Oryctolagus cuniculus: one gene and its partner. The protein of the gene in region 1 purifies or fractionates together with the protein of each later gene. This does not show direct contact. Links are inferred from orthologs where the notes say so. Each region holds a gene or a part of one and is shown on either strand. Other genes may lie near its edges.

Region 1 (9,801 bases):
TAAAAACAGGGATTTTCAAGAAAAGAAACTTATTTTTAAAAAGGAATTTTTTTTTAAGATTTATTTGAAAGGCAGAGTTAGAGAGAGAGCTCTTCCATCAGCTGGTTCACTCCCCAAACAGCCTCAACAGCCAAGGTTGGGCCAGATCGAAACCAGGAGCTTCTTCCTGGTCTCCCACGTGGGTGGCAGGAGCCCAAACATTTGGGCCATCCTCTGCTGCTTTCCCAGGCACATTAGCAGGAAGCTGGATCAGAAGTGGAGCAGCTGGTACTTGAATCAGTGCCCATGTGGGATGCTGGTATCACAGGCAGAGGCTTAACCAGCTACACCACAATGCTGGCTTTCTAAAAAAGTGTTCTGATTTAAGATCAATGAAACATGTTTGCCAATCTGGAGCATATTTTAAAATTCAATATGGTTTCTAACTGTGTATTATAATGTCTAACCCTGTACAAGACACTGAAAATATAATGCTGACCCTTTTGCAGGTAATAGTTTGTGACACGTTACTCTTACCTACAGTGCTACCTACATACAGAGAGCCAGAACTGTGACCCAACAGGTTAAGTTGCCACCTATAATGCCAGAGTGCCAGCAGATGAAAGATGTCACTTTCAAATAATTTCAATTTATTTGAAAGGCAGAGTGAGAGAGAGAGAGACAATCTTCTATTCACTGGTTCACTCTTCAGATGACCACAATATCCAGGGGTTGGCCCAGCTGAAACCAAGAGCTGGAACTCCATCTGGATCTCCCATGTGTACGACAGGGGCCCAATTACTGGGGCCATCATCTGCTGCCTTCCCAGGTGCACTGGCAGGGAGCTGGAATGGAAGCAGAGCAGCCAAGACTCAAATAGGTGCTCCAATATCAGATGTGGGTTCCCAAGCAGCAGCTTAAACACACTGCACCACAATGCCAGCCCCAAAAAAATTTTTTTAAATAGGAACACAAAACATACTAGAAAATGAAAGAACCAGGGTTAGACCTAGATTACAGGCTTCATCTTTGCTGTGAAACTCTGAGCCAAAATTAACCTCTCAGAGCTCTGGGTTTCTCCTTTTTAAGAGCAAGTTCAAATAGAAGTTCTCAGACTCTTGAAAATTCTGGGGACCAGTGCTGTGGTATAGGGGGTAAAGCCGTCACCTGCGGTGCCAGTATCTTATATGGGCGCCAGTTCGAGTCCCAGCTGCTCCACTTCTGATCTCACTCTCTGCTATGGCCTAGGAAGGCAGTGAAAGATGGTCCAGGTCCTTGGGCCCCTGTACCCGCATTGAAGACCTGGAAGAAGCACCTGGCTCTGGATCAGCGCAGCTCCAGCTGTTGCAACCAACTGGGGAGTGAACCAATGGATGGAAGACCTCTCCCTGTCTTTCTCTCTTTCTCCCTCTCTCTGCTTCTGTCTCTCTGTAACTCTGCCCTTCAAATAAACAGATGTCTAAAAAAAGAGAAGGTTCTGGCATTTGGCCTAGTGGTTAAGATACCTGCATACTACTGTGCTCCAGATCTTAGCTTCCCACCAATGCAGATGGCAGGCAGCCATATGACAAATTAAGTAACTGGGTTCCTCACACCCATGTTAGACCTGGATTGAGTTTCTGGCTCCTGGCTTTGGCCAGCCACTCTAGGCATTTCAGGAGTGAATCAGTGTATAGAAGTTCTTACTGTTTCCCTACTTCTCAGTTTAATAAAAAAAATGTAACTTTTAAAAAACTTTTTAATCATTTGGTAGTTTCCAACAAAAAGCAGATGTAAGATATTTCAAAAACTTCATGGAAAAATAGAATTAATGAAAATTTCCATGATCTTTTTGAACTACCCTTATATGATAATGTATTTTAACTATAAAGTCAAAACAGGCAAATACTGTACACCTGCATTTACTTAGCCAAATCTACTATTATAAATATACTATTTGTGAACAATTTCATGACACACACTAAGATATGTCATCATCAACTACTTATCTGACACCCTGACAAAACTGAAACTTTTAAGATGTCTCTTAGTCATTTCACTCAGTTACTAAGTATTTCTCATAAACACACTCCCAAAAAGCAGCATTCTCTTACTGAAGTGATTCAAGAGGATAAATGAATAGTTTACAAAGCTGAATAGTACTTCTGAGTACGGCAGTGTTCAGATATATTTGTACTACGCAACGCAATCATATTTGTCTCAAACTCTTATTGACAAAAGAACATTTTAACATTCCTCTAACAATCCAAATTAAGCTATTTCCAACTAAAGAAATACAGTCTAAAGATTTTTAATCATAAATTACATATTTCTTCACTAATGAAGAAATTTTTTTTTTTTTTGACAGGCAGAGTGGACAGTGAGAGAGAGAGACAGAGAGAAAGGTCTTCCTTTGCCGTTGGTTCACCCTCCAATGGCCGCCACGGCCAGTGCACTGTGGCTGGCGCACCGCGCTGATCCAATGGCAGGAGCCAGGTACTTCTCCTGGTCTCCCATGCGGGTGCAGGGGCCCAAGCACTTGGGCCATCCTCCACTGCCCTCCTGGGCCACAGCAGAGAGCTGGACTAGAAGAGGAGCAACCGGGACTAGAACCTGGCACCCATATGGGATGCCGGCGCTGCAGGTGGAGGATTAACCAAGTGAGCCATGGCGCAGGCCCCAGCAGAGGCTTTTCTAATGACTGTGTATATTAACTTTCCCAATGTATACACTAAAGACTTCAACAATTTTGGGGTTATACGTACAAGATATAAACCTGAAATTATTTTCCTATTTATTTGAAAGGCAAAGAGACAGATCTCCAACCTACTGGTCCACTCCCCAAATGCCTGCAGCAGCTGGGGCTGGGGCTGACCAAAAGCAGGAGTTTTGAACTCAATCAAGGTCCCAGACATGAGAGGGGTCCGTCTTCTCAAGCTATCACCTGCTGCCTGTAAGGGTGCACACCAGCAGCAAGCTGGAATGGAGAGTGGAACCAGACCTTCAAACCAGGCACTCTGATAGAGGGCATGGATGTCCCAAATCATATCTTTTTATTATTATTATTTTTATTTTTTTTTATTTGACAGGCAGAATTGGACAGTGAGAGAGACAGAGAGAAAGGTCTTCCTTCTACTGGTTCACCCCACAAATGGATGCTACAGCTGGCGAGCTGCGCCCATCTGAAGCCAGGAGCCAGGTGCTTCCTCCCGGTCTCCCATGCGGGTGCAGGGGCCCGAGCACCTGGGCCATCCTCCACTGCCTTCCCGGGCCACAGCAGAGAGGTGGACTGGAAGAGGAGCAGCTGGGACTAGAACCCAGCGCCCATATCGGATGCTGGTGCCCAAGTGAGCCACAGCGCCGGCCCCACAAGTCATATCTTAACCACTACGCCAAACACCCATCCCCAGAATAATTTCTCTTTAATGCACCCATGTAATCTATCTCTTGCTCCCTAAAATATCTTTAAAATTTTTTATAAACAGAGCTAATGTATTTACTATGATCATAATATAAAAATCCTTTACAATGTAAATCTGCATCAGAGTTTAGGGACTATCAGCAAAAACTTTGTATTCTGTCAAATCACTGATATGAACCTAACTGACCCCATTACCGAAGGTGTTTATCAGAAAGTTGCAAATCTAAACTAAAATTTCAGTCCAAGAAAAAAAAAGTTCATTATGATTTTTCATATATGTAAAATAGTTCTTTAATGCTTTCAGATCCTACACAACAAATATACTGAAAATGCACAAACTGACCTTACTCTAGTAATGAAAGTTTATGAATTCTAATTAATAAATTTCACTCAAGAAAGGAGTGTATTCCAATCAAGAACTTTATTAAAAGGACAAATATTCAAAAAGAACAAAGAGCAGGAATTAAATTACTTCTTCTTGCAAGCCTGTCCTGTTCAAATACAATTCAGAAGCACATTTGTTTAACTTCTCAAAAGTAGTCTGCTAAAAGAATGCTATTTTATCCAAAAAAAAAATACATTTTTAAAATTCTGAGGTATATTACAAAGTCTGCGTGAGGAGTATGGAAAAAAACGCACCTCATATTTATTTTACATCAATGTCCAATCCGGAAAACTTCGTGTGCATTCCCCAAATATATCCACAGAAGCACAAGTAAAACAGGTCGAGTGGACATTCCGAAAACAAGATACAACTTAATTACAGTACCTCAGATTCCATGATGTGCATGCAAGGATACCTGGTAATTAACTAAAAGAACTGAGAAACTGCGTACTAAAGAACCTGTTCAGTTATTAAAGAAAAAAGCTACCTGCAGTAACAATCCTGTAAACTTGGGATAAGCCTTTGAACAATTTCACGATGCTTTATGATAAAATACTTTATAAAACTGTGCTTTGTTGTTCCTCTTACGAAATTAGCACACACAATCTACCTACTTGGCTCTAGAATTCATAAACCAACCACATCAGATTACAAGAGCGTGCAGCACTTTGAGTCTTACGTCGTGTGGCTGCTCAACACTTCACTCAGAACACTCCGTTACAATTCTGAAAACTCTGTTCCGGTTACTTGGACCGTCTGTGGGGTCTAGGCAGGACAGGCAGACTTTCCGTGGCGCCCTGACACCGGGGGAGGGGAGTTCCGGGGCGAGGGGGATGGGACGAGAGGTGACGACCCGCTGCAAGCCACCGCTCGAAGGCAGGGAGCTGGTTCCACCTGTCCCGCTGTGCGAGCTCCGCTGCCCACTATCCAGCTTCCCAAGGGGTTCCCACGGGTCTCCCTCAACTCCCAGGACAACAGAGGTTCGGGCCCTGCCCCGTCACTCCGTATTCCGCTCGGAGTAACCTGCATGCTCCGAGAGCCCCAGCGCGCAGTCCACGGCCAGCGCCCGGGGTGCAGGGCGCAAGAATGCCCGAGACCCCCGGGCAGTGCTACGCGGAACTGAAAGAACTCTGAAGTTACCGCCGGCAAAACGCGGTTCCTGTCAAGGAAGCGGTGGTCCCACCTTCCAAGGAGAAGGTGTGCGATTCAGAAAGTGAGACCCCGAAACCGGAGGGGCGCGGGAGGAAGGGTCGACTGGGACCGGAGCGACAGCGCTGAGGGGCCACCGGGCTGACGGGCCCGCGAGGCAGAGGTCGCGGCTGAGAGTGGCGGCGCCCAGCCGGCCCGTCCGCCCGCCTGGCTTCCCCCGCCAGGTTTCAAACCGCCGCCCCCGAGAGGCGCTCAGCCGATTGGAAGTTCCTCAGCGACCGTCAGCAGCCCAGGGCCGGAGCGCCAACTCCGCGACGGGGGCTCTTCCAGCCCTCCGCGTCTCCCCCACGAGACAGACCCCACCAACTCCACCTCCAGCCGAGGTCCCAGCTGGAGTCCCGCCGCCGGCTCCAGGCACGCGGAGGGCGCCCACCAAACGGGACCGGCCCCCCGACGGGGCTGCGCCGCGGGAGTTCGAGGGGCGCGAAGGGGCCGCGCGGGGAGCGGTCAGAGCGGGCGTCCCTCAAGAGTCCGCCCCGGGACGCGGCCCCGCGCCCACCTCCGCCTCGCCCCTGGGGCACGGCGCGCCCGAGCTCCGACCCACCCATCCCGCGGGGTCGCGGGCAGGGCGAGGATCGGAGCGAGCTCACTCCCCCGCCCCTGCTCTTACCCATCTTTCCGCCTCGCCTTGTAGACGTGCCCGTAGGTGCCGCGTCCCACTTTGCACCCTTCGTACTCAAACAAATCCTCCACCCGCTCCCGCTCCGCCGCCAGCTTCGCCTTGAAATCATAATCCATTGTCTGCTTCCCCCATAGAGGCACCGGGACGCGGGGGCCGCCGCCGCTCAGTCCCTCCTCCTCCTCCTCCTCCTCTGCCTCCTCCCCCCGCGACCGCCGCTCCACTTCTCCAACAGCCGCCTCTCGGGCGCGCGCGCGCCGCCCGCCGCTCCGCGGTCCGCCTTCAGCAAGGGACTCCTCGGCGGCCGCGGCAGCCACCCCCTCCACCTCCTCCTCCTCCTCCTACTCCTCCTCCGCGGCGGCGGCGGCGGCGGCAGCTCCCGCAGGCACCCCCGGTCCCGCCTCCCCCCTTCATTTCCTTGTTTTGGAACCTGGTGGGCCGCGCCGCGGCTTCCTCGAGCTCATTAACGAGCCAGCCCGCCCGCCCCAAAGCTGCGAAGGCTCCTGGGAAATGTAGTTCCTCAGGCCCCAGGGGCCGTGGACGTTCGGCCCGCGCGAGAAATACAGCTCCCAGACTACCTCGGGCCTCCACAGCCTCGCCCCCGCATAGCACGCACGCGTGCGCACTGGGGCCGCCCCTCCCCCTCAGGTAGCGCTGGGCTACCAGTTCCTGTGAAGGTAGAAGGCGCAAAGTTGGAGGGTGCTTCGTGAGAGACTGTGGGCGTGGGTGTGTCGGCGGCCCTTGCTCTGCTAGGATGAGGTACTCCGGGCCAGAAGGGGCGTGGGAATTGTGTCACACGCAGGGCGCCTCGCGCAGCAGCGCGCTCCGAGGGCTCGAGAGGGAGGACTGGTCAGGACAGTTGTAACGCAGGTTGTTGTTTGTTTTCCGCGGCGAGCGGCCCGCCCCCGTCCCGTCGCTCATTGGCGGAGGCTAGAGAATGACGTCCGCCGTGGTGCGTGGTGTCCCCGGGCTCTGGCTGCTTTCCCGCTCTGGATTGGTAATTGCATAGGCTTGGTTCTTCCTGATAGGTTAATCGTTTTTCTTTACGATGCAGAAACCGTATTTCAAAACCTGTAGAGTCAGCGGTTTCCTAGTTCTTGCCTTACGATAAGGAGGACGAGTAACTTCTGAGCCCCAGCAGCCAATCAGCCTCTTCTTGGCGCTCGAGTCGGTTCCCTCCGAGCATGTGCGGCGCCCGCAGCCGAGCTTGGGCCATCTGTCTAAGGACAATTAAAGTGCCCGGAAGATGCAGCGTTTTAAAAGCAATCGTTTGGCTTGCCTTTTTAAGGCCTTTTTTTTTTTAATTTTTTTTTCGGTTGGGCACTCCTAGGAACGGATATGTGCCTTTAATCCGGCTGAAGGTTGAGTCATTATTTCATTGAAGTGTTGGGGCTCAGGCGGCGCCACCCTCCTGACTGTGCCCACCCCGAAACCTGCCTTTCTGGCATACTGATACCTCTGAACTAAGAAGAGAAATTCAGAACCGGTCAATTCAAGAAAAGCTCTTCATCTCCTCCCCCCTTTCACCCCCTCCCCCCCACACACACACCGAAAATAAAGTATAAAATTCTCCTTTTTGTAAAGAGGAATTTACGTCGATTAAGGAAATTTTGATTAGTCCAGGCTTCAGTATGAGGAAAAGAACTATTCCTGGATAACTTTTATCTGCGTAAAAAGCCAGCCATTATTCACCTTATAGTTCCTCCTCTCACCCACCCTCAGTTTGTCTCCACCACCCCACCGGATGCTCCAGAGCCCAGTCCCTTATTGTCAATCAGGAAGCTTCAATCACCTGGTCCTTCATTAAGACCTGTATCTTTGGAACTCCTGTTATTAACAATGTTATTAACATTGTTTTTCTCCTGTTAATCTGGTTTGTGTTCATTTCATTCATCCACCAGCCGAAGAAAAGCAGAGGGCAGCCATTTCCCCTAACCTACAAATGGCTGCCTACTGTCCCAAGGAATACAACCTGATCCAGCTAGTATATCCAGCTAGGATGGGACTTAAATTGCACCTTTAGAAGGAGCACCAAGGAGGGAATGGTCGATACTACCTTAAGAAATAGGGACAGTTAATAGTAAACTGCTGGGTTTTGAAAGAAGCTTGGAAAATTAGAAGGAAAGGGGAGGATTGTTTATTTACTGAGCACACTCCCCCTCGTCCTAGGAAACTTCCTTAGGTCTTGACGGTATCTTCAGGCAAGAGGAATACGACTTGCCCTTGCTGCCAGGCACTATGATGAGTGCCGGAAATACCAGAATAAAATTGGTCTTTTTCCGTTTAGGGAACTGCACTTAGTGAATAAACAAACATGCAAGCAAATTAAAAATAAACTGTGTGGGTACAAAGAGCAATGGTTGAATAGACAGAGTTCTGGGTGAGTTAGGATAGGCTTCATGACTGGGGTAGATTTAAGCGAAATTCTAAAGAATGAGAAAAAGAACCAGCATTTAACCTAGCAGAGTACACGGGTTCAGTTGCCGGGTCCCCACTCCTGGCTCCAACCTCCTGCTCTTACAGAGCCTGGAAGGGAGTATGTTCCAGGCCTTGGAGGGCACTGGGGAGTAAACCAGCAAGTTGTTCAAATGCACGCTCTCTTGCTCACTCTGTTTAACTCTGAAAAACATGGAGAGAGAGAGAATATTAGTAGGTTCTTACTTGAAGGGCGAATGGAGTAGCCAGGCAGGCCAGCATATACCCATATCATGAGAACATGATTTATTTTGAGAACTGCAACTAGATTAGATAAGGACAGATTAAGGCAAGGAAAGGGAATAGATAAGAAGAGACTAAACAGATAAGCAGAGGTCATAAAGAGCTGTGTATGTCAAGCAGAAGTTAATGCAAGACTACATTATTATTTAGGCAAAAGAAAGCCATTAAAGACTTCTGAGAAATAGACTTAAGGAGAAATAGAATCAGTCTTGAGCAAAGGTACTTCACAATTGTGGAAAATGGAATTAAGAGAGAAGTGTATGGGAATGGGCACTGTGGCTCAGCAGCTTAAGCTGCCACTTGGGACACCTGCATCCCACATTAGAGTGCCAGTTTGAGTTCCAGCTGCTCAGCTTCCAGTACAGCTACCTGCTTAATGCACCTAGGAAAGCAGCAATTAATGGCCCAAGTACTTGAGTCACTGTCACTCACATGGGCTACCCAGATGGAGTTCCTGTCTCCTGGGCTTCAGCCTAGCCCAACCCTGGCCATTGTGACCATTTGGAGAGTGAACCGGTGGATAGAAGATCTCTGTCTCTCCCTCTATTTCTCTGTCACTGTAACTTTCAAATGAAATAAATAAATCTTTTTAAAATATATGTTTATTTCAGCAGGAAATATTTTCTAAATAACATGTAAGGTTCTTCAAAAAGTTCATGGAAATTGTGTATTAGGAAAAAACTATACATAGGGGCCAGCACTGTGACACAGCCAGTTAAGCCACCTCCTGCAGTGCTGGCATCCCATATGGGCAACAGTGCGTGTCCTGGCTGCTCCACTTCCTATCCAGCTGCCTGCCAATGGCCTGGGAAAAACAGAGAAAGACGGCCCCTGCACCCATGTGGGAGACCTGGAAGGAGATTCTGGCTCCTGGCTTCAGCGCCATTTAGTGAGTGGATGGAAGATCTCTCTCTCTCTCTCTCTGCCTCTCCCTCTCTCTGTAACTCTTTCAAGTAAATAAATATTTTTAAAAAGGAAGGAAGGAAGAAAAAGCTATACATAGATTTCAAGAAAATATTTTTCACCAAAATAAATTTATATTTTAATTCAATTTTTCAGATTTTTTTTTTTTTTTTTCAATTTGAAAGAGACAGAACTTTCATGCACTGGTTCACTCGCCAAATACTCAGAACAGCTGGGACTGGACCCAAACAAAGCCTTAAGCCAGGGACTCAATTCAGGTCTGTCGTGTGCATGGCAGGGAAGGGACCCAACTACTTAAGCCATTACCTGCTGCCTTCCAGGGTCCACATTAGAAAGAAGCTGGGATTGGGAGCCAGAACCAGGTATCAAACCCAGGCTTTCTGTTTTGAAAGATCCTAACAGATTATTTTATTTATTTGAAAGACAGCGTTACAGAGAGAGGTAGAGGCAGAGAGAGAGGTCTTCCACCCACTGGTTCACTCTCCAGTTGGCCACAATAGCCGGAGCTGTGCCAATCCGAAGCCAGGAGCTTCTTCTGGATCTACCATGTGGGTGCAAGGACCCAAG
Region 2 (9,652 bases), on another chromosome or scaffold:
GCTGGTTCGAATCTTAACTGCTCCATTTCTAATTCAGCTCTCTGCTGGTGTATGTGGGAAAGCAGCAGAAAAAGGCCCAATTACGTAGGCCCCTGCACCTATATGGGAGACCCACATGAAGCTCCTGGCTTCAGCTTGGACCAGCACAGGCCTTTGCAGCCATTTGAAGAGTGAATTGGCAGACTGAAGATCTCTCTCTCTCTCTCTCTCTCTCTCTCCCTGCCTCCACCACTCCCTTTCTCTCTGTCTTTCAAACACAAGTAAATCTTTATAAAAAAATGCATTATGGATGACAAGAAGGTAAGGGGACTAAGTAAAGGCAATTCTGTAGTCTTGTTATTGAATATCTGAGTTAAATAACAACATTCCAATCTTTGCAAAAAGGAATACTTTTCCTCTTCACTCACCAGAAAAATTAGGGCAATATTATCACCATAATCACACACATTTCAGTAACAAGATGTGGTAGGTACCAAACCAAACAGAAGAACACTGCCTGTGAAGAGCAGACTCCGGCTAAATTAACCAGCTTTTCAGTTACCACCTGGGTCCTTCCGGTTCCCCTTTCCTCCAGTGCTACACCTCCACTTGGAACTCAGGACTGCCTCCTGCAGCTGATGCCACCCCTACTGTCCAGCTGCTCTCTCCTCAGGGGAGATTAAAAGAAGGGAATAGAGTGCCACAGATGGGAAGAAATGAAAAAGGTTAGCTAGAGAGACAGAGGCAGACTAATTACCCCAAAAGGGAGGCAGACGGTGTCCCTGGAGCAAAGGAAAGGGCAAGACAAATATCGTCCATCTGAAAAGACCTTATTATTCTTTGAGATATGTCTGATTTAAGTAATAACACACTAAAGTAAATAACAGGTTTTCTTAAAGAAAAAAGCTAAAACATTATATAAATATCACTGACTATGCATTATGCAAACTATAACAACATACGACAGGCTTTGGAATATGACCTCATACTATTTCTAATTGTACTTTGGTTTACTAGTTCAGTCACTTCCACTTCAATAAATTTTAAAAAATGATTTTCCATTCAATAGCATTAAGCAAAATCTGACAACAATTAAAACCTAATCTCCCCAAATTACTTCAATCACAGTCAAGATTAATAGCTACTTTAAAGTACAGGTGCTAATACTTTTGAAAATTATGCTAAAAATCAAAGGTAACTAGAGAAGAAATTCTTAAAACTGTAACCCAGTTTCAGTAGAGAAAACAGAACTGACTGATAACATGAAACCTAAATGAAATGTCATACCCACATACTATAGTGTTTTAACAATATACATCAAAACAGCTTTCCTCTAACTCTAATAGGCTCTTCCCTTTCAAAATATTAGTCATAATATGGTAAAACTAAATACTATAAATCTGTTAAAATGATCTTTCATTCTTCAAAATGTTATTTCATGGAATCTTAAGGGGGGGAAAACTGCTAAGATTCTCTGTAAACTTTAAGACAATCGAAACTGCCAAGGACAGTATTGCAGTTTATCAACAATGTTTTATCAAAAAGTACAGTTTATCTAGTTTTATCCACAACATTGTTATATAACTACATGTTATATACATTAAAATTATGTAATTTTAGAGTCTTATCAACAATGTAAGTCCCCAAACATTTCAGTAAGGTGGTTTTCTTATGATCATACAAAGATTAAAGTTACTTAGCTATACCCAAACCAATGAAAGAAAAACCAAGTTGACATGTTTAGCTTTTGGTGTAACAATTAGAAGCATCACCTTACTCAAACCACTCAGGCATTTTTACATCCTGACATATGTGCATACGTTATATATACACACAGAAATATAAACACAATTCACAAATTTAGAACTTTACTACGTATTTAGAACTAAAGACTAGATTCTCTAAGCAGGCATGTTGGGAAAAGTGGCAAGCTTTATCAAGAAGAATTGCAACCACTCTCAAATGTAATTAACACAGCAGAGGGTGTAGTATATGCACTAGAAAGTAAAAGCAATTATTAAATATAAGACATGAATTCCTACATAAATACTGGTCTCACGTACTATACGTGTATCTAGATCATATTTCCTTCAAAAATAAAACAGACCCTATTTCAGATGGCTCTATTTAGTGAATATTAACAGAAACTTTAGGGTAAAATAAGAACTCTTTTTTAAAAAAATCAGAAATTTATACTTCAAGGATCATTATCATACTAATTTGAAGTCTTTGGCACTTTGCAGCACAACACAACTAATCATATGCATTTCTATCATCAAAAATTCAGTTAACACTGACTCTCACAGTAAATCCAAGCTTCAGTAATCACATGAAGAGCTAGCTATCCTCTGTCTCTAAAGTAGCTTTTAGTCCTAAAACAAAGAAAGTAATATTTATTTGCTCACAATAAAGGTATTTCTGTGTAACTTTTTCGATTATGATCCTATGTCCTATAAAAATTAAAACAAGTTGGCACTTGTCTCACATTAATAGTCTTTAATGGAACAGTATCTAAGACTCACTTTAAAAAATAACAAAATGAACACATGCCTTCAAGTGTTAATAAAGTAATAATCACACACAGCAATAACAAAATAACTCTAAGCCTCTAAAGAAACACAACAAAAAGTTACATTTCTAGATACTCCTACAGTCATCTGTACATTCAGGCAAAAAAAGATCAGTGACAGAACTGACTCAAAGGCTGAGTTACACTTTGCTTCCAAAGTATTAGTATGGCTCTGGTATGAACTTTATGCTCCCCAATTCCAATTTTCTGAGGTTAATGTATTCCTTGGGATCTAACCACCTGTGAGAAATTAAGAAGGAAGCTGGGTGACAGAAGGACAGTTATCCTCAGTGTAAAAAACCCATCATAACACATATTGATGATTTATGTAAATAAAATAATCACAGTTAAATAAAACATGATGATCTTTCATCTGGTTTCATACCTAACAGTGTCACACACACATACACACACATAAACACACACACCTTAATTTGTAATACAAATGGTATTTTGGAAAAGCTATGCAACACTGTTGTATCACCAGTAAGAAGTAAGTTGCTTTCACCTGATAAATCATGGTGAATAAGGTCAGCAAAATTGGGATCTTCACCCCACCAAAAAATCCACAGTTCTCTTCTTCCAGGTCTTTGATCTCGCCGCCAAACACCAAGTACATCTGCCTTAAGGCAGCGGCTAAAACTGCTCAAAATGGGGTCTTCTTCTGTCACCGGAAACAGAATAGGGGCAGAAGTTGGGCCTTGCCAAACGTATCGTTTCCATTTAATTCCTGTCAAGTCAGCCTGGAGGAAAGAAAGCATGATTTATTATTGTGTATTCACTGAAAGTCTCAAGCATTCATTATGAAGTACCTTATTTCATTAAGACACTAGAATTTTTCAATGTACACCTAACATACTGAAAGCAGGTTAAGATTTAAAAAAAAAAAAAAAAACTTTTTAATTCTGATAGTAAAACAACCAAGAATCTAAGGGAAAAAAAACTTAAAAAATTGACACCAAGATGTCGCTGCATAGTAACTTAATGAATGTGTCCCAAGAAGAAATAAAAGAACTTAATGATGCTAAATATAAACTGTACTTTAATATTGCACACTGAGTATATATTTCTTCTGTCGTAAGTTATATTCTAACTGGTGACATTTGATCCTTGATATCAAGCTTTTAGCTGAAAATTAATTCTTAAGACCCATCACTACATATTTATTGTAATCATGACTCTAGTGAAAAAAGACACCTGAACAATTCTTGGAAGAAAAAAAAAATTCATGTTAACTCTTCACACACACCCCTCTGGAAAAGTCAAATAATTATCACAAAGAACTGTCAGGCTTGTGCCAGGCTATCTTCAAAGAATCTGATCCTAAAAGTTCCAAAAACAGACTGAGTTGGGAGAGGACAGAAATGTAAAACCCGATGTTTGCCTTACTGTATCTGAAGAGATGCTGATCAACATATTTTAGAAGGGGGAAGTGCATTAAAGACCTCAACTGAACATCATGAAAAAAAAAATGTGACAAAAGAAATTCAATACTTCTTTAAAGATGCAAAGCATGAGGTGCCAAAAAATGAAACTGCTGAAACATGACTGGCTGGCAGTTAACACTTGCCAGCTACTTGTGCTCCGCCCACTTAAAATCACTTACCTATCATATACCCTTTTTTTTTTTAAGATTTATTTATTTGTTTGAAAGGCAGAGCTACAGAAAGGCAAAGGCAGAGGCAGAGGCAGAGGCAGAGAGAGGTCTTCCATCCTCTGGTTCACTTCCCAGATGGCCGCAATGGCCAGAGCTAGGCTGATCCCAAGCCAGGAGCCAGGAGCCTCTTCCGGGTCTCCCACGTGGGTGCAGGGGTCCAAGGACTTGGGCCATCTTCCGCTGCCTTCCCAGGCCACAGCAGAGAGCTGGATCAGAAGTGCAGCAGCCGGGACTCCAACAGGGCCCATATGGGATGCCGGCACAGCAGGCGGTGGCTTTACCCACTACGCCACGGACCCGACCCCCTATCATATATTCTTATTATTTCACATACTACAGGGGAAAATGAGAAAGGAAAGTCACCCAAACTTCGAGTCACTGATGGAGCTCAGCTACTGTCCAACTCAGGACGCTATTATTACGTCCAGCAGTTGGTACTTTTCTAAGTCTTCACCGCTGGGTGTTAGCAGACCTGGGCCAATCGACACAACTGTCATCTCGACACCCAGATTGCCCAGACTTTTTAATAAAACAAGGAGCAGGCTGTTCCAAACCGTCTTAAACAGCAAGCAAAGCAGACAAATATAGAAGCATTTAGTGCAAAAACCACAGCACCTCCTCCATCAGACCTTCCACTCTCAAGAAAAACATAATGTTCTAATAAAAGCAAGATGGCTAGAAATTGTCAAAATGGCAAACTGTTTTCAAAGTTTAGAAAGAAGACATATGAAACAGCATCTACTAGTTTTTGACACAAAGATCTGAAGTCAGCCAAGGAAGAAAAGTAACCCTGAGTTAGTCTGACTCAGGCAAACGAAATGAAAAACGAAGAAAAGAGCCTTTCCCTGCTCCGGGTCTAGGGTCCCGTATACCAGGGGAAACCAAATGACCCGGGGAAGGCCGAAAGGCAGGGGAAGCAGGAGCACTCACGGAAAGTCTGAAAAAGGGACACAGAGTCACCAGGGAGAAAAGCAACAGTTAAGCAAGAAACACAGAGGGAAATGTTCGCGTCCGACCAGATAAGGTGCCCAAGTTGAAGACAAGACTTCCGTGGAAAAAGAGAGAGAGACACGGAGTCCGAAACAGGACAAGGGAGAAGAGCCCACACTCCCAGGACGGAGCCCGGGACAGCCGGGGAGCGGACGCCGTCCCCGGCGCCGGCTGCGGAGCTCCGCAGGGCACCGGCTCCGGCTGGGCCTAGCCCGGGCACTCGGGCATCGGGATCCGACCCGGCCCCCTCCCCCATGGCCCAAGGGCGCCCCCCGGCCCCCTCCCCCCGCCGCCCGCGGCCCCGGCACTCACCAGGCAGAAGAGGTTACAGTGACAATCTTCCAGGCTGGCCCCGTTCTGCACGGAGGAGGAACTCATCGTCCCTCACAGCAGCCGCCGCCGGCGCCACAACCCACCATCCGCCATTACCGCCGCCTCCGACCAGAGAGAGAAACACAGACACCGGGGAGGGCGGGGGGGTGGTGGTTGGGGGGGCGGTGGAAGAGGAGGCCGCCGGGCCGCCCGCCCTCCCCACCCACCCCCCCTGCCGCCGCCGCCGCCGCCGCCGCCGCCGCGAGCAGCCCCCGCCGCCCGGCCGGCACCCAGCCGCCCGGGGCCGAGGGCCGGAGGCGGGAGGGCCGCGCCGCGCTCGCCCGGCGGGCCGGACTGCGGAGCCCGCGGACGCTCGTCCCTCTCCGGGGGGACAGAGGCGATGTGTGCTCCTTCCACAAGAAAAACAATAAATTACACAATAAATAATCAAAATCGAGTCCGAGACCGCAGAGCCCAAGCTCCGGAGGGTTCTCCCGGGCGCGGAGGAGCCCCGAGAGGGGCGGGAAGGGCGAGAACCGGGAGAGGAGCCCAGGCCCCCGGCCCGGCAGCGGCGATGTCCTTAAAGCCCAGAGTCTCCTCAGTGGCGGAGGTGGTGGCGGTGTCTCCGGGCTCAGACCATTCTCTGGCTGTGTCTTCGTGTCGTCCCTGGGCCCCGCCGGCCTAACGTCTGCTCTCCTGCGGCCTCACCGCCTGGACGCCTTAGTCTCCCCCATTTTGTGGGCCCAGCGGGCGGTGTTTTTCCCCCTTTAATCCGAATTCACGGGTTTTCCCTTCGCTTTAATGGCGGCCACAGGGACCAGCTCGCCCTCTCTGCTCGCCCATTGGCCGCCTGGAGGTCACGTGGGCCGGGCTCCGTGGGGAGGGGGAGAGAGAAGGGAGTGAGGGAGGGCCGGGAAGCTTTCGGCTGAGGCGGTGAGCCCAGGGGACTGGGCAGCCGGCGGGTGGCTACTGAAATAGCGCCATCTGCTGGGTGCCCTGGCCGTGTAAGGTGACCCGGGGCCCACGCACTCTCTTTGCCCTGGCGGGGGAACTCTTCACAAGTCTCTCAGAATGACGTGGAAATCAGTTTGAATTCTTTGGAAGAGGAAGAGTTGCCCAAAATTCCAAGGCATTCTCATTTATTCCACGAGGCTGCCCGGGCACAGCGCAAACCCCCGGACTTGGGAGTCAGGGGACAAGGATTCAGCGGCTAAAAATTGTGATAGGAAGAGAGAGACATAAACGAAACAATGCAGCCGTGTGCGGGAGAGCCTGCGCTCGAAGCCGCGGGAGTCCCTTAGCCTCTGTGTCTCGGTCTCCTCATCCGTAAAAGGGGGAGAGACTGCCCCTTGGCACAGAGGCTTGGTGTGCCGAGTTAGCACAAATGAAGCACCCAGCCCCGCCCCGGGCGCAGACCCGCGGGCTAAGAGTTATCTGTGACCTGGGGCGGTTGCCGCGAGGAGCCAGGGAGCCAGGCACCTGCGCGTCCCCCACCCCACCCCCCCTCCGCCCCAGAACCTCCACTCGGTTTGCTTACCGCTGTCAAGCGCCGAAAGAAGTTCCTAGCACACAGTAGGTGCTTGCTTGGTATATGTAAATTCACAAATGCATGAGTGGCTACAAGAACCAGAGAAAATGTTAGCTCCCTTCCCTATAAAACACTTAGTTTTTGGCTGGATTACACCTCAAAGGAAGCGTTCAAAACATTTTCCTTGAGAGGGTTACACCAAAGGAAGAAGGAAAAGGGGCTCCCCTGTTTGGCTCAGGATTAAGCCCGCTACATCCTACATCTGGGTGCTTATATCGAGTCCCCACTTCCGATTCCAGCTTCCTGCTAATGTGCACCCTGGGAGGCAGCTGTGATGTAAAGTACGGGGGTCCACACTGCGCAAGTGGCAGATGGAAGAGCTCTGTCTCTGTGTCACTCTGCCTTTCAAATAAAACTTTGAGAAGAAGAATGAGGGAAAAGATGATTGAGAAGTTAGAAGCATCAATGAGTTAGAACATCGTAATTTCCTCTGTAAAATCAATGGTGGACACTTGCAGTCACGTCTTCAGCCACGGAAGGAGAAGCGTTCCTCAGCCATCCGTGTCTCCTTCTGTGGTCAGGTAAGAGCCCATAGCTTGAAGCCGAAACCACGTACAAAAAATTCTGCCACTTACAGTTGACCTTAAATCAAATGAATGTATCTTACTCTCAGTCGCTGTAAAATGAGGATAATAAAAGTTCTTTTCTTCTGAAGTGTCTAATGAGTGAAACAATATAGGTATAGCGCTTGCCACAGTGCTTACTTAATGTTAACCATTCATATAATCTTTAAAAGCCATTATGAGCACCTGCTGGCTCAGTTGAACGTGTTCCTGGTCTGTGGTAGGCCTGGGATACAAACATGAACAAGATACCTGCCTGTCCCTCAAGATTCCTGAAGAGAGGCAATAAAGGAAAGATTTCATCCAGAAAAGAGAAAATACAGTGGGGGCAATTGCTTGAGCACAGTATGTATCAGCCAGGGCACCATGGGAGCACGAGAGGAGGACCATCAAAGCCCAAGAAGGCGTCATAAAGTAGGTAGCATCTGAAATCAGATTTGAAGGATAAAATGAATTCTTATAAAGCCCTTTGAAGCAGTTAAATCTCATTAAACCCAATTCAGATCCAAAGGCCACATATCAAAGTCAATTATACAACCAGGACTAATTCAATCCAGGAGCTCAAATCAACTAAGGTCAGCATCCTTCATAAGTGACTGCCAGCCCGAGGAGACAGCAATCCGCAGACCCAGCGGCGGAAGAGCTCCTCTGCTGGACTCTCCCCCGGAAAGTCCTCTGCTTTTTGCCGACTGCCTTCCTCAGCCTGAAAGATCCTCCCCCACCGAGCATCTACACCGCATCCATCCTCCAGAGAAGTCTTGCGCTCCCTTGGTCCCGCCCCCTAAGGTGAGCACCTTCTCCAGGACTCCAGCGGCAGGTGGAATCTGCCTGCAACCTACAGATGTTTGACCCTGCATGTGCATGCCAGACTCCCCAAAACAGCAGGAGAGACAGGAGACAAGAAAGGAGGAAGACGAGGAGGAGGAGGAGGAGGAGGAGGGGGACGGTGGGAGAAGGAGGAGGGAGAGGGGGAGGAAAAGAAGGAGAGGGGAAAAGAAGGTGGGGATTGAGGAGAGAGGAAGTGGATGTGAGACACTGAGAGAAAAATGAAGCCAAGTGGAAGAAGAGGACCAGCTCCCCGCACCAAGAGTGAGCGGAATGCAGACATCATGGGAAGGAGCTGAACAGAAGGCAGCAGTATCAGGCCACACAGACCTTGTGAGTTAGCACGTGGATTGTGTAAAGCGGAATTCTATGCGCTTCCAAAGAGTAAGGGGAATATAGACTTAGGTGACGGTGATGTAGGTTCAGCAGTTGCGACAAATGCACCACCCTGGTAAAGAATGTGGCTGAGGGTAGAGGCTGTGCATATGTGAGGGCAGAGGTTAAAAGGGATATAAAAGTAATGAATAAAAGGAAATAATTTAAAACTATGCACACATATGTCAAGACTTTGGAATAGGGGCCCGCGTTGTGGTGCAGTGGGTTAAGCTATGACCTGCAACACTGGCATCTCATCTCGCTGGCTCCTGGCTGCAGCCTGGTTCAGCTCTGGCCGTTGTGGCCCTTTGGGGAATGAAACAGGGGATGGAAGACCTCTCTCTCTCTCTCTCTCTGTAACTCTGCCTTTCAAATAAATAAAATTGAAAATCTTTTTTAAAAAGCTTGGAATAGAGGAATATATAGAAATGAAATTTTCAAGTGTATATTACTCCAAAACCCCGTAACATCACAATTAACCATCTTTTAATATTTGAAGTATTTCCTTCCAAATTTTTCTCTGTATGCTCATATACAAGGAATATGCATGGATTTCAAAAATTCTTTACATTCCATTTTTCCACAAACATTTTTTAAAGTTCATGTACAGTGTGCAGTGCTTTTTTTTAAAAAAAAGATTTATTTATTTATTTGAAAGGCAGAATTACAGAGCAAGAGGGAGAGACAGAGCAACCACAAGGTCAAGAGCAGAGCTGTTCAGTAGACATATAATTAGCCAAATAAGTTATTTGAAATATTTTGGTAGCCACAACAAAAAATTAAAAAGAAATAGA

What was found. Proteins that work in one complex are often made in the same cells at the same time.
Region 2: the proteins of CDK19 (region 1) and MED13 purify together in Homo sapiens (affinity purification with mass spectrometry; 6 studies listed by BioGRID and IntAct, counting the BioPlex papers as one, with this or other methods). This does not show direct contact. The link is inferred for Oryctolagus cuniculus from reciprocal best matches to the Homo sapiens genes CDK19 and MED13.

The regions. Positions count from the first base shown.
Region 1 is NC_091436.1:60,778,613-60,788,413, reverse strand, and holds the start of CDK19 (cyclin-dependent kinase 19), read right to left. Parts: upstream 5,557-9,801; 5' UTR 5,522-5,556; coding exon 5,286-5,521; intron 5,253-5,285; exon of another isoform or gene 1-5,252.
Region 2 is NC_091448.1:35,406,784-35,416,435, reverse strand, and holds the start of MED13 (mediator of RNA polymerase II transcription subunit 13), read right to left. Parts: upstream 6,320-9,652; 5' UTR 5,574-6,319; coding exon 5,508-5,573; intron 3,292-5,507; coding exon 3,057-3,291; intron 1-3,056. UniProt on the Homo sapiens protein: Component of the Mediator complex, a coactivator involved in the regulated transcription of nearly all RNA polymerase II-dependent genes.